Cricetulus griseus: one gene and its partners. The protein of the gene in region 1 interacts with the protein of each later gene in a biochemical or structural test. Links are inferred from orthologs where the notes say so. Each region holds a gene or a part of one and is shown in the gene's direction. Other genes may lie near its edges. The genes, in order: Rangap1, Uspl1 and Ranbp2.

Evidence for each region.
Region 2: of the proteins of Rangap1 (region 1) and Uspl1, one has a biochemical effect on the other in vitro, tested with the Homo sapiens proteins (2 studies listed by BioGRID). The link is inferred for Cricetulus griseus from reciprocal best matches to the Homo sapiens genes RANGAP1 and USPL1.
Region 3: the proteins of Rangap1 (region 1) and Ranbp2 form a complex in vitro, tested with the Homo sapiens proteins (5 studies listed by BioGRID and IntAct, with this or other methods). The link is inferred for Cricetulus griseus from reciprocal best matches to the Homo sapiens genes RANGAP1 and RANBP2.

The regions. Positions count from the first base shown.
Region 1 is NC_048595.1:378,861,698-378,866,197, reverse strand, and holds part of Rangap1 (ran GTPase-activating protein 1), read left to right. Parts: exon of another isoform or gene 1-686; intron 687-1,021; exon of another isoform or gene 1,022-1,028; 5' UTR 1,029-1,059; coding exon 1,060-1,171; intron 1,172-4,500. UniProt on the Homo sapiens protein: GTPase activator for RAN. Converts cytoplasmic GTP-bound RAN to GDP-bound RAN, which is essential for RAN-mediated nuclear import and export. Mediates dissociation of cargo from nuclear export complexes containing XPO1, RAN and RANBP2 after nuclear export.
Region 2 is NC_048597.1:85,015,240-85,019,739, forward strand, and holds part of Uspl1 (SUMO-specific isopeptidase USPL1), read left to right. Parts: intron 1-1,253; coding exon 1,254-1,383; intron 1,384-4,500. UniProt on the Homo sapiens protein: SUMO-specific isopeptidase involved in protein desumoylation. Specifically binds SUMO proteins with a higher affinity for SUMO2 and SUMO3 which it cleaves more efficiently. Also able to process full-length SUMO proteins to their mature forms.
Region 3 is NW_023276807.1:2,599,099-2,602,735, reverse strand, and holds the end of Ranbp2 (E3 SUMO-protein ligase RanBP2), read left to right. Parts: intron 1-462; coding exon 463-736; intron 737-844; coding exon 845-1,179; intron 1,180-1,559; coding exon 1,560-1,865; 3' UTR 1,866-2,766; downstream 2,767-3,637. UniProt on the Homo sapiens protein: E3 SUMO-protein ligase which facilitates SUMO1 and SUMO2 conjugation by UBE2I. Involved in transport factor (Ran-GTP, karyopherin)-mediated protein import via the F-G repeat-containing domain which acts as a docking site for substrates.

The DNA.
Region 1 (4,500 bases):
ACCCTTGTGCTCCGTGTACCCAGGATGCCTGCTTCACTACCTTCTTGATGTCATCATAGTTGGCAGCTTTCTCCAGGTGACATGTCAGATCCATGATGTACACACTGTGGGTAGGAACATGGAAGGCTATGCCCGTGAGCTTCCCATTCAGCTCTGGGATGACCTTGCCCACAGCTTAGGCAGCACCAGAGGATGCGGGGATGATGTTCTGGGCTGCCCCATGGCCATCATATCACAGCTTCCCGGAGGGGCCATCCACAGATTTCTGGGTGGCAGTGATGGTATGGACTGTGGTCCTGAGTCCTTCCACAATGCCAGAGTGGTCATGGATGACCTTGGCTGGGTGGCTAACAGTTGGTGGTGTGGGAGCATTGCTGACAATCTTGAGTGAGACATCACAAACATGGAGGCTTCAGCAGAAGAAGCAGAGATGATGACCCTTTTGGCTCCACCCTTTTCTAGTGGGTCCTGGCCTTCTCTGTGGTGGTGAAGACCCCAGTAGACTCCACAGCATCACCCCAATTTATGTTGGTGGGATCTCGCTTGTGGAAGAGAATGATGGCCTTCCCATTGATGACAAGCTTGTTGTTCTCAGCCTTGACTGTGCTGTTGAAGTTGCCATGGATAGAGTCATACTGGAATGTGTAGACCATATAGTTGAAGTCAATGATGGCAACAACATCCATTGGTCAGAAATGAAGGCAGTTCTAGTTACCAGGCCCCCTAATATCGCCAAATCCATTCACCCCGACCTTCACCATCATGTCTTAGGGACAAGGCTGGCACTGCACAATAAGATTTGGCTGTGCATTTTTATTTTTTGTACATTTGTGTTTTGCCTACATAAATGTCTGTGTAGGGGTGTCAGGTTCCCTGTAACTGAGTTGCAGACAGCTTTGAGCTGCCATGTGGATGCTGGGAATGGAACCTGGGTCCTTTGAATGAGTAGCCAGTGCTCTTTACTGCTGAGCCATCTCTTCAGCCCCACAAGATTCTTTTTTAATGCAGCTTCTGTCTTCAGTTTGCAGGTCTCCCAGGCAGCCCACAATTGTTGCCAGCATGGCCTCTGAAGACATTGCAAAACTGGCAGAGACCCTGGCTAAAACCCAGGTGGCCGGAGGACAGCTGAGTTTTAAGGGCAAGAGTCTCAAATTGAATACTGCCGAAGATGGTGAGTTCCTGGGCTAGCTGTGTGAGGGGTGGGGGTGTTTGTGAATGCTTACTAGTTAGTCCTCGGGCTTTCTGAGCCATCTCAGTCTTGATCATTTGTCCTGGGAGGTGAAGTCAGTGCCATTGGTCCATTCTAACAGTGAGGCTTCTTCTGTTACTTTGTGTGTGTGTGTGTGTGTGTGTGTGTGTGTGTGTGTGTGTGTGTGTGTGTGTGTTTGCTAGCCTGTGGATTTTTCTTTTCACAGGGTTTCATCAATGTATAGCCTAGACTAGTCTTAAGCTTGTCTGTCTAGCCTAGCCCCTGACTTCAGGGCTGAGTTCTTCCCACCCCTACCTTTATCCTCACCATCCCAGGCCAACTGTCTTCCTTGTGGCAGAGTTGCATTAAAAAAGAGTGGTGTTGGGGTGGTGGTGGCGCACGCCTTTAATCCCAGCACTTGGGAGGCAGAGGCAGGCGCATCTCTGTGAGTTTGAGGCCAGCCTGGTCTCCAGAGCGAGTGCCAGGATAGGCTCCAATGCTACACAGAGAAACCCTGTCTCGAAAAACAAAAGGAAGAAAGGAAGGAAGGAAGGAAGGAAGGAAGGAAGGAAAGAAACCCTGTCTCAAAAAAAAAAGAAAGAGAGGACTGGAGAGATGGCTCAGAGGTTAAGAGCACCAACTGCTCTTCCAGAGGTCCTGAGTTCAATTCCCAGCAACCACAGGGTGGCTCACAACCATCCGTTATGAGATCTGGTGCCCTCTTCTGGTGTGCAGATATATATGGAAGCAGAATGTTGTATACATAATAAATAAATAAAATCTTTTAAAAGAAAAAGAAAAAAGTGTGGTGTTGGGCCCTGATGGGGAATTCCAGTCCTTGAAACCAGACATCACTAGGACAGAGAGAGTTCCTGTCTTCCCACTCATGATCAAAGCTTAGGCAGCACAGACAACCCAGAATCTCTTGCTGCCTAGAAATGAAAGTATCTGCCTTCAGACCTTGTGAGGCCTCTTTGAGTTCTGGCCCAACCAGGGAAACTGGTTTGGACTTCCTATATTGTTTCATGCACTATTAAACTTATTCTCTTCCTCCAGGGGACTTTGGGAACCTCAGAAGGGTGGGGATGTCCATACCTTGAAATGCACAGATTCCTCTATGAATACCAACCCCTAACTTCACCTGCTTTGTTTATTTTGGTTCCATATTTATTTGTTGTGGGTTTTTTGTTTGTTTTGTTGAGTGGATGAGGCTAGCCTTGAACTCATAAAGATCTTCTGCCTCTTGAGTGCTGAGATTAAAGGCATTCACCACTAGATCTGACCTATAGTTGTTTTTCTGAGACAGGGTTTCTCTGTGTAGCCTTGGCTGTTCTGGAACTCACTCTGTAGACCAGGCTGGCCTCATACTGGCTGAATAGCAGAGAATGGCCTGATCCGCCTGCTTCTACACTCATTTGCTGGGATTTGTATTATCATCTCTGTGGGAGGAGGGTAAAAATGCTTCTTCTATAATTGAGACTAAGTCACTCATTCAAGATCACAAGTTTCTTTTTTTCCTTCGAGATTTATTTATGTATAGTGTTTTGTCTGCCTGTATGCCTGCAGGCCAAGAAGGGGCTCCAGATCTCATTACAGATGGCTGTGAGCCACCATATGGTTGCTGGGAATTGAATTCAGGACCTCTAGAAGAACAGCCCTCTTAACCTCTGAGCCATCTCTCCAGACCCCCTCCCCCCCGTTTTTTTTTTTTTTTTTTTTTTTTTTTTTTTTTTTTTTTTAGATTTATTTAGCCAGGTGGTAGCTAAATAATCCCAGTACTCAGAAGACAGAGGCAGGCAAATATCTGTGAGTTTGAGGCCAGCCTGGTCTACAAAGTTACACAGAGAAACCCAGTCTCAAAAACACAAAAACTAACAAATAAGATTTATGTATTTCTTTTGTATACCGTATTTTGCCTGCATGTATGCTTGCAGGCCAGAAGAGGGTGCCAGATCTTACTACAATTGGTTGTGAGCCACCATTTGGTTGCTGGAAATTGAACTCACGACCTCTGGAAGAGCAGACAGTGCCTTTAACCACTGAGCCATCTCTCCAGCACTCAAGATTACAGATTTTACAGATAGCAAGATTACTGATGTTCAGCTGAATTCTCTGTTCCCATGTTTTTGAATAGACACTGATCTTAATTCAGTAAATACAAATTTGAAAACACATGCTGCTTATTGGGCCAGAGAGATGGCTCAGTGGATAAAGGCACTTTCATACCTGAGTTGAGTTGCTGGAACCATGTGCTAGCAAAGAACTGACCCCTGCAAGTTGTTCTCTGACCTCCATGCTTGTGTGCACTCACACAACACAGTAAATAATGAATATATGTGGTTTTTTCCCTTTAGAAGGCTTTATCCCCATTTTGCAGATTTGAAAACCGAGGACATGACAAAACTCCCTTAAGGGCATAGTCACTACCTCATAGTAGTAGAGGTAGAATTAAAATCAAGTTTTGGGCTTAGGATGCAGTTCAGTGTACCTGTATGTACAAGGCCCTGGATTTGATGCCTAGCACTACAGAGAGCAGACAGAGACCCTGAGTTTGGCTTTGATACTCTGGTGGCTAATTTTTCCACCTCACTAGCATTATATTAGGTCAATAGGAATGCCCACCTTACCTCTGAAGAGGAGCTCCTAACTTTGAAGGGGAGTGGGGTACCTAGAAGGCAGAATGTGAGCATCTTTGGGTTTTGAACTAGAGGACCTGAGAAGTGATGGTCACTTTATCTATCTTTGATTTTTTTTTTTTTTTTTAATGTAGTTAGCTGTTGGACAGGGTTTCTCTGTGTAATCCTAGATGTCCTAGAACTTACTTTGTAGACCAGGCTGGCCTCAAACTCTTAGATCCTCTTGCAGCTGCCTCCTGGGTACTAGGGCATCACCATGCCTGGCCCTGCCCTTTTATAAGTTTTCTTGAACAGCCATCTGAGAAGGCTAGCCTGCTGACTTTAGAGGGGGGCCACCTTTTGGAGCAAGTCTTGCAAAAGGCAAAGAGATCACCCCAGCCATTGTCCTCAGGAAAGCTATAGAGGCACAGGCATCGAAGCAAGAGAATCAAAATTTCAAGGTCATTCTTGACTATATAGTAAACTTCAAAACCTGACTGAGCTACCGGGAGACCCTATCTTTAAAAACCATAAAATCAAAAAGGAAACTTCCTATTCATAATGTGTGTAGTGCTAACTGATTAACATCACAATGAATAGCTTGTACTTGCTTGAACATGAAGAATGGTCGGCACAGCCCTAACTAGGCTAGGAGCCTGTCCCATCCTCCTGTGTCCGTGGGTGTGTGGTGGGAAT
Region 2 (4,500 bases), on another chromosome or scaffold:
GGCTCAGAGGTTAAGAGCACTGGCTACTCTTCCAGGGGTCCTGAGTTCAATTCCCAGCAACCACATTGTGGCTCACAACCATCTGTAATGAGATCTGGTGCCCCCTTCTGGCCTGCAGGGATGCATGCAGACAGAACACTGTATACATAATAAATAAGCAAATCTTTAAAAAAAAAAAAGAAATGCATTATTTTGACTTACATTTTTATATAAAAATAGCAAGGGCTGGGCATGATGGTGCACACCTTTAATCCCAGCATTTGGGAAGCAGAGGCATAACTAGTTTACATAGTGAGTTCTAGGACAGCCAGGGCTATATACTGAGACCCTGTCTCAAAGAATTAAAAAAAGCAATGGGGTTATATCACAAAGACAACTATTAAAATACACTTGGTAGTTGCAGATGTTTGCAGCACATGCTTGGGTAATGAAACCTGTTGTCTACCTTCTGGTCCTTCCATCACAACAGTTGCTGTCCATGTTTTAGGCATCTGTAGTTCTGGGCTAGGGAAGGACAGGACCCTGAGAACAGGCTTGGTCTAGTGAGGAGGCGGGAAGCAGTCTGTGGTCTGTGTCCTGGGCCTTGTTAAACCCTGAGGATCAGAAGGAAAGAAACCAGTTGGAATAGGGCTGTAAGAATGGGATTGCCTATTAAACTGCCTTCTTGATCTCAAAGCTAACACTTTTAAGGACAGCAGAATCCCTACCATCTCTAGTCTTAAAGTTGCAGGAGTTTTATGCAAGGATTAGACTAAAGGTTGAGTTAAGTGGGGAGGTTCAAAGTTGGTCCTTTACCCTGTCTATCAAATCTGTTGTGCGCCGTAGAGTTGGTGAGTCCAAATAGAAGTGGTATTTTAATGGTTAAGACCAATTCTGATGCGATTCTCTAATGTTTTCACTAACTTTCAGTATTTGTAGTAAACCATGTTCATGGTTCTTGTTTTAAAGTACAGGGATATAGTTCTGAGGAGTTTCCCTTTCTGACAGGAAGGCAGTAGGAATCTCATGTGTTCTTGGATTATGTTTTCATGACATTTAAAATAGAGACTAGCATAGGAGCTGAGTTTATGCAGGCTGTGTTTGGAGAGCTGTTCTGCCTTCCTCCAGATTCACCTTGATTGACTTACTCTGCCAGGCTATGTTCACACATAGGTGTTGTGTTGTAAACTTGCTGAAGGACACCATTGACCATTTAGTGTTTCCTTTTATAGTTGCCTGTTTCAATCTCTGATCTCTCCTTTTTTCTTTTGCAGGTGAGATGGAAAGTCCTGTGTTTGCATTTCCTGCACTGTTAAAACTAGAACCCCATGTTGAAAAGCTTTTTACATATTCTTTTTCTTGGAATTTTGAATGTTCCAATTGTGGACACCAGTATCAAAACAGGTCAGTTTGGGGTTTTTAGTGAATTCTTTCTGCTGAGATGGTTTGTAACAGTGTAATTAAGTAACACATTTTGCACCTATAATATATGTCTTGGCACTTCTACCTACAATACACCTCCTTTCCCCACCCAGACAAGGTTACAGTATAGCCCAGGCAGAACTTGCTATGTAGCCCAGGTTGGTCAAGGCTTGAGGTTTTCTGCATTGGGATCCAGAATGGTAGAGGTAGAAGCATCATCTATCACCATGTCTTGGATCCCAACACCTTTTTTCTTTTTCCCCTAAGATAGGGTCTTGCTAAGTAACTCAGGCTGACCTCAAATTTGCCACTCTCTTGTCCTAGCCTTCTGGGTTCTGAAAATGGAGGCAAGGATCACAGCTGGCTTCTACATCTTAAACTCTCTCCCCACTAAAGCTAAAAGAACAGTTTGTAGCACAAGAATCTTTTAAGTTGGCTTGTTACTGTAAGTTAGCTCAAAAAAAAAAAAAAAAAAAATCCATGGCTTGAACAATGACTAAAGACATTTTCTGTATTTCCTTAGTGGGAAGTTAGAAGCAAATGAGAATAGCACCCTTCACGATCTGGAAGGTTCTTAGCTGGGCTTCTGCTCACAAGTCCCTGGAACTGTTTTGTTTACCCTCCATTAGAGACAAAGCTTTTGTTTGCTTTAGGCTTCTGTCTCCTCATCTATGGTAGCAGCCAGCAGAGGTTATCCCTGTTTTCTGGTTCAGGAGAGCAGTCAGAGGGTAGGTAAGTACTTATATGACATGCCCTCTCCTTAGTAGACCAGGGAAGATGCTAGCTGCCTGTTAAAAGATGACCTGCCAGCTGGGCAGTGGTGATACACAGCTTTAAACCCAGCACTCAGGAGGCAGAGGCAGTTGGATCTCTGAGTTCAAGGCCAACCTGGTCTACAGAGTGAGTTCCAGGACAGCCAGGACTGTTATACAGAGAAACCTTGTCTCAACCCCCGCCCCCAAAGACAACTTGCCTTGTGGGTGATTCTTAAGAATATTACAGTAGAGATTAGTCCTTCCTGTCACAGCTCACCTATGAGCAAGCTTCAACAGTTAGAAGGTAAAATGGTGTGAGGAAATTGTTTCCTAGATGGCCATGGCCTCACAAGGGTGTTCTGGACAGTATGAAAACAGTCAAAAGAGAGGTCAGTCTGGGAGAATGCTGTAGGGAATGAAGACAGCAAAGTTTGCTTCTTCATCAGTTGCTCTAAGCTGCTAGGAATGGTAGGAATTCACACTATGACTGGAAATATTTGGGTAAGCAAGTGAGTATCCCATTCCTAGCTTTCCATTGATTTGTACAAGTGGTCTGGTTTTCTCATGGAGACTCAGTGAGGAACTCACATCAGTAGCAGAATCAGGAGACCTCTAGCATTGTTTTTTGCCTCTGTGGCTCAATGGTGCTAACCTCCCTAATCACTACCTGTGTTTTTAATAATATAAACAGAGCTGATAATCAAAATCAGCTTAATTACAGCTTTTCTAGAATTCACAGCCTGGCACTTTGACAGCTTTTCATTGAGTGTGTTCTGTGTGCCAGGAGCTCACCTAGCCATTGGGAGTGATTTCTGTTGTGGCTAATTCAGATGACTAGTTGCTTAGCAAAGTAGTTATGAAATCACTGGAGAGGGCTAGTGCTCAGCAGTCAGTGCAAGCTTTTGACAGCTCTGCACTTTTGTACATAAGATGGTAAGTGGGCTTGTGCAGTGTTTGCATGGAGCTCAGAGAGAACTTCAGGGGAAGCTACCAATCACTTTGCTTTGTACCTTGTTTTTATTTCTTTAAAGGTAATTGTTAGTGGCTAGTGGTGGTGCACGTTTTTAATCCCAGCACTCAGGAGGCAGATGCAGGCAGTCTCTGAGTTTTGAGGCCAGCCAGGTCTACAGGGCTAGTTCTAGGACAGCCAGGGCTGTTAACACAGAGAAACCCTGTCTTAAAAAAACACACACATACAATAAGTAATTGTTAAAGTTTCTTTAGAATAATCTTTCATTCTAAAAGAAAAGCAATTACAGAGTCAAAGATAAGATGTGGTGACATGTAATCACTGTACATGGAGGTCACAGATACTCTCTTCTACTTTGACAGAAGCTATTGAGCCTAGTCCTTTCATTTTAGTGTCTCGGGGTTTTGTGCTAGTGTATGTAAGGCTTTTATCTGATTCAGTATTTGTGGGGAGGATAGTCTGTAGAGGCTGGTGGTCTTGATTCAGACCCCAATTTGTCTGCTGCTCATTGTCTATACAGAGGCTAGAACACTTGCCCCTTGAGAGTTGTTTGGCAGGGGAGTGCCAAGTTCTGTGCCTAATGATATGCACACTGATACGCACACTGAGTGCTCAGAAATAAATGTCAATCATCACGTGGAACGTAACATTAATTGAGTCTTTACTTAATAGTATCTCAAAGAATGATACACGTGAAATGCAGTCTGGGCATCCAGAGCAACCTGTCTGTTGCTTTGCATTTAAAAGGTTAGTTTTTCTGCAAACTGGTCAATTGTTAACCGCCAGTGATTTTCTTTGCTCACGTACCATATGCCAATATTATTTGTTATTTAGAGGAGAAAAGCTTGTGTTTCTTTGGCAATATGATACTTGTTTTAATTAAGGTATTTTGTTAAAGTTGATGCAACTGAGATTTAGTGTACACCATTGAAGATCATCTTGATTATGCTGGCAATCTAAAGTGAATTCAGTACTTGAACAACCTGTGTAAAAGCAGAAGTGTTCTACAAGGGATTTTCTTCTAATAGATATGAATTATGTACTTGGAAATACATCTTCTTTGTTGTCAGTGATGGTTAGCCAGTTTGCACTATGTACACTGAGCTTTAAATTGGATAACTTTAGAGAAGTGATGCTCACAAGAGCCTCTGATGCATCCTCTTTGGGTCTCTGGTGGTGTCTAGGGATACTGGTTGCTGCTACTGGGTACTGATCCTGGAATGTGATAAGTCGAGACTAGGATTGACCCTAAAATGTCCAGTGTGCACAGTGGGGCCTCACAATAGTTATCTGCAGTGAAGTTTCAGTAGCATTAGTGCTTGGAAAGCTGCCAGTCACCCTTTTGTGCTTCTCATAGCTGAAAACCCAGTCAGT
Region 3 (3,637 bases), on another chromosome or scaffold:
GGGGTGGGGGGTTATGTTGTTATATAGCACTACCTGGCCTGTAATTCACTGTGTAACCCAGGCTGGCCTCAAACCTGTTGTAATCTTCCTGCTTCTCAGGCTCTGGATTACTTTGCTAGATTGATACACATCCTTGCAAAGAACCACATCCCTTCTGGTCTCATATAGACTAGGCTTGCCTCATGCTTCCACACCCCAAGTGCTGGGATTACTGGTGTATACTGCCATGCTTGACAAGAACCAGCACTTTTGAAACCTCTTCTGAACTTTAAAGCCATTTTATTTTCACAAAGAGAAGCAAAATATTATATAATAGGAAGATACGTATTGATCTTTATTGCTTTACCAAGTCTAGTCTTGGACATTGTTAGTTACCATGATACTGTAAAACCTGTTGGCATTGGTTAATGGTATTTGTTATAAACAGTGTTATATAATAGGTATTCTCATCTGTTGTCATAGGTAGAAGTGAAATCTGGAGAAGAAGATGAAGAAATTTTATTCAAAGAGAGAGCCAAACTTTATAGATGGGATAGAGATGTCAATCAGTGGAAGGAGAGAGGTATTGGAGATATAAAGATTCTTTGGCATACAATGAAGAATTATTATCGGATCCTAATGAGAAGAGACCAGGTTTTTAAAGTTTGTGCAAACCATGTTATTACCAAAGCCATGGAATTAAAACCTTTAAATGTTTCAAATAATGCTTTAGTGTGGACTGCCTCAGATTATGCTGGTGAGTTACTACCTTCAATTGTCTTTTAATTTTATTGACTTTTCTGAAATCTATAACATATACATGCTTTGTAAGTTAATATTAAGCCCCTCCCCCCCCTCTTAACAGATGGAGAAGCAAAAGTAGAACAGCTTGCGGTGAGATTTAAAACAAAAGAAATGACTGAGTGTTTTAAGAGAAAATTTGAAGAATGTCAACAAAATATATTGAAACTCCAAAATGGACAAGTATCCCTCGCAGCAGAGTTATCAAAGGAGACCAATCCTGTGGTATTCTTTGATGTTTGTGTGGATGGTGAACCTCTAGGACGGATAATTATGGAATTATTTTCAAATATCGTTCCTCAAACTGCTGAGAACTTCAGAGCATTATGCACTGGAGAGAAGGGCTTTGGTTTCAAGAACTCTATTTTTCACCGAGTAGTTCCAGATTTTGTTTGCCAAGTAAGTGTCTAGTATATATATATATATATATATATATATATATATATATATATATATATATAAAATCATGGTTAAATCGGCTAAGACTAGACCACACCAACTGGGGAAGGTTTTGCCCTCATTCTCATCTTGGGAATTTTCAACTTTCCCACACCATAGCTGGCTGGCATTGAACTTGATACTCCCTTTAAACATTCAGATTGAAAGGCTCCAAATTTCTTATGAGGGAAAAACCTTTGTCTTTCTCAAAACACGTATTTCTTATTTTTCAAAATTACTTTTAACGAAATAGGGCATTTGTGATTTACTCTGTCATGATGATTTCAATGTATCTTAATGTTTGAGTCAGTATTAACAGATTTTTTTGTGTGTGTGTCCAGGGGGGAGATATCACCAAACATGATGGAACAGGAGGACAGTCCATTTATGGAGATAAATTTGAAGATGAAAACTTTAATGTGAAGCACACTGGCCCTGGCTTGCTCTCCATGGCCAATCGGGGCCGGGATACCAACAATTCACAGTTTTTTATAACACTGAAGAAAGCAGAACATTTGGACTTTAAACATGTAGTATTTGGGTTTGTTAAGGATGGCATGGATACTGTGAGAAAGATCGAATCGTTTGGTTCTCCTAAAGGGTCTGTTAGTCGAAGAATTAGTATCACAGAATGTGGACAGCTATAAAATAATTTCACAGTGAATTTTATCTATATAAACAGTTGAATTGTTACAGACAATATGATAATTATGTTCACCTTTTGAAAACAGACATTTCCAATGTATAAATGTAAAATTGTAGCTTATAGCTGTTGTCACTTTTTAATGTGTGATAATTGATCTTGCATGGTGTGAAATAAAAGTTAAACACTGGTGTATTTCAGGTGTACTTGTGTTTATGTACTCCTGACATATCTGTATTAGAATGGCTAATACTAATTTTGTTGAAAGCAATAGAGCTTCTCACACTATTGAAGGAATATGATATATGCAATCTTATTTTAATTTCTGTTAAGATATTTGGATTTCCTGCATGGTACTTACCATTGAATAAGGGGACCACAACTCAGATAATTTTATTTTAGATTTGAAATATATATATGGTAATCTTAACTATTCGTGTGCTCATTTATGTATAGACTCATTTATGAATGGATAGAGCCACAGAAGATGAGTTAACCAAAGTGCTCTTCTGTAATTTTTATGCTCCTGTATAGTTAAAAATTAACTTTTAAGTAGAATACTATCTTTTCTTAAGATATGTAGTTCCCTTTTGAAGACATTAATTTTTACATTTTAAGTAAGTTGATCATTTCCTTAGATATAGCCCCCCATCCTTTTTCCTTCTTCCTTTTTTCTTCCTTCTTTCCATTCACTATTCTGTTACCTGTCTCTACTACCTCAGAAACTTCAGCTTGGTCCTGATGATAGAATTGAATTTTTCTCTAGTTCTTGTGATAAACTATGAATATTTTTAAAAGATCTATACCATGTTCTTTGGTTAAAGATTTGCTTTATATTAGATTGTTGCAGTACCTTTTTCTGGTGAATTTTGTAGCAGAAATAAAGTGATAATTGATAACAGCCATGACATTTAAAACATTACTTGTGCATCTAAGTTGTCTGTTCCTTCTGTGACTTGATGTAAAATGAGATCTGTTGAAGGCCAGCACTCTGAGCTCACACTGTGTCATCAAAATGACACTGAAAATGTACTTGGATGTGGTTTGTGTCAAATAGGCAAACTGTTAGGAACAGCTTGCTCTGAGGGGCCTACTCGGTATAGAACTAAAAGGAATCTAGTTAGACCATAAAATTCTCTGTTTTCCAATCTTGAGTATTGAGTCCTTTCTATTTTCTTGTGTTCAACTATTAGAAGAGGGCAAGGAAGGTTATGGCTTATGTAATGAATTATGAAATAACATTACTTTAAAAAATTCTTATTTCACAGCCAGGTGGAATAAGTTGGCCTTATTAAACATGGCCATGCATACTTAATAGCTTCTTTGGAAACCTGTGTAACATTAACCCACAGAAAAGTATTGAAACTTCTCAGTAAATGGAAATGTCTTCTTAAAAAATCATCTCTTGTAGCCCAGGATTACCTTGCATTGTAGCCTAGGCTGGACTTGAACTCTTCTTGATCTCACTACCTCCACCAGGATTGTAGGCATGTACCCACTATGCATGGTTGCAAATGCTTTTTAAGAGATAATTTTACTTTTTCAAACTATTAGGGTTATTAAAGACCTTGACAAAAACTTGACAAAATGGTGTGTTAAGCTAATTTTTCCAGGATTGGCATCAATAACAGGTGTTTCCAACCTGTTGAGTTACCAGGTTGTGAGCCATCATTTGGGTTCTAGGAATGGAACTCAAGTCTTCTGGAAGAGCTGTCAGTGTTCTTAATGGCTAAGCTATTGAGCTCCTACAAAGAAGTTTAAAAGAAGCTTGAAGTA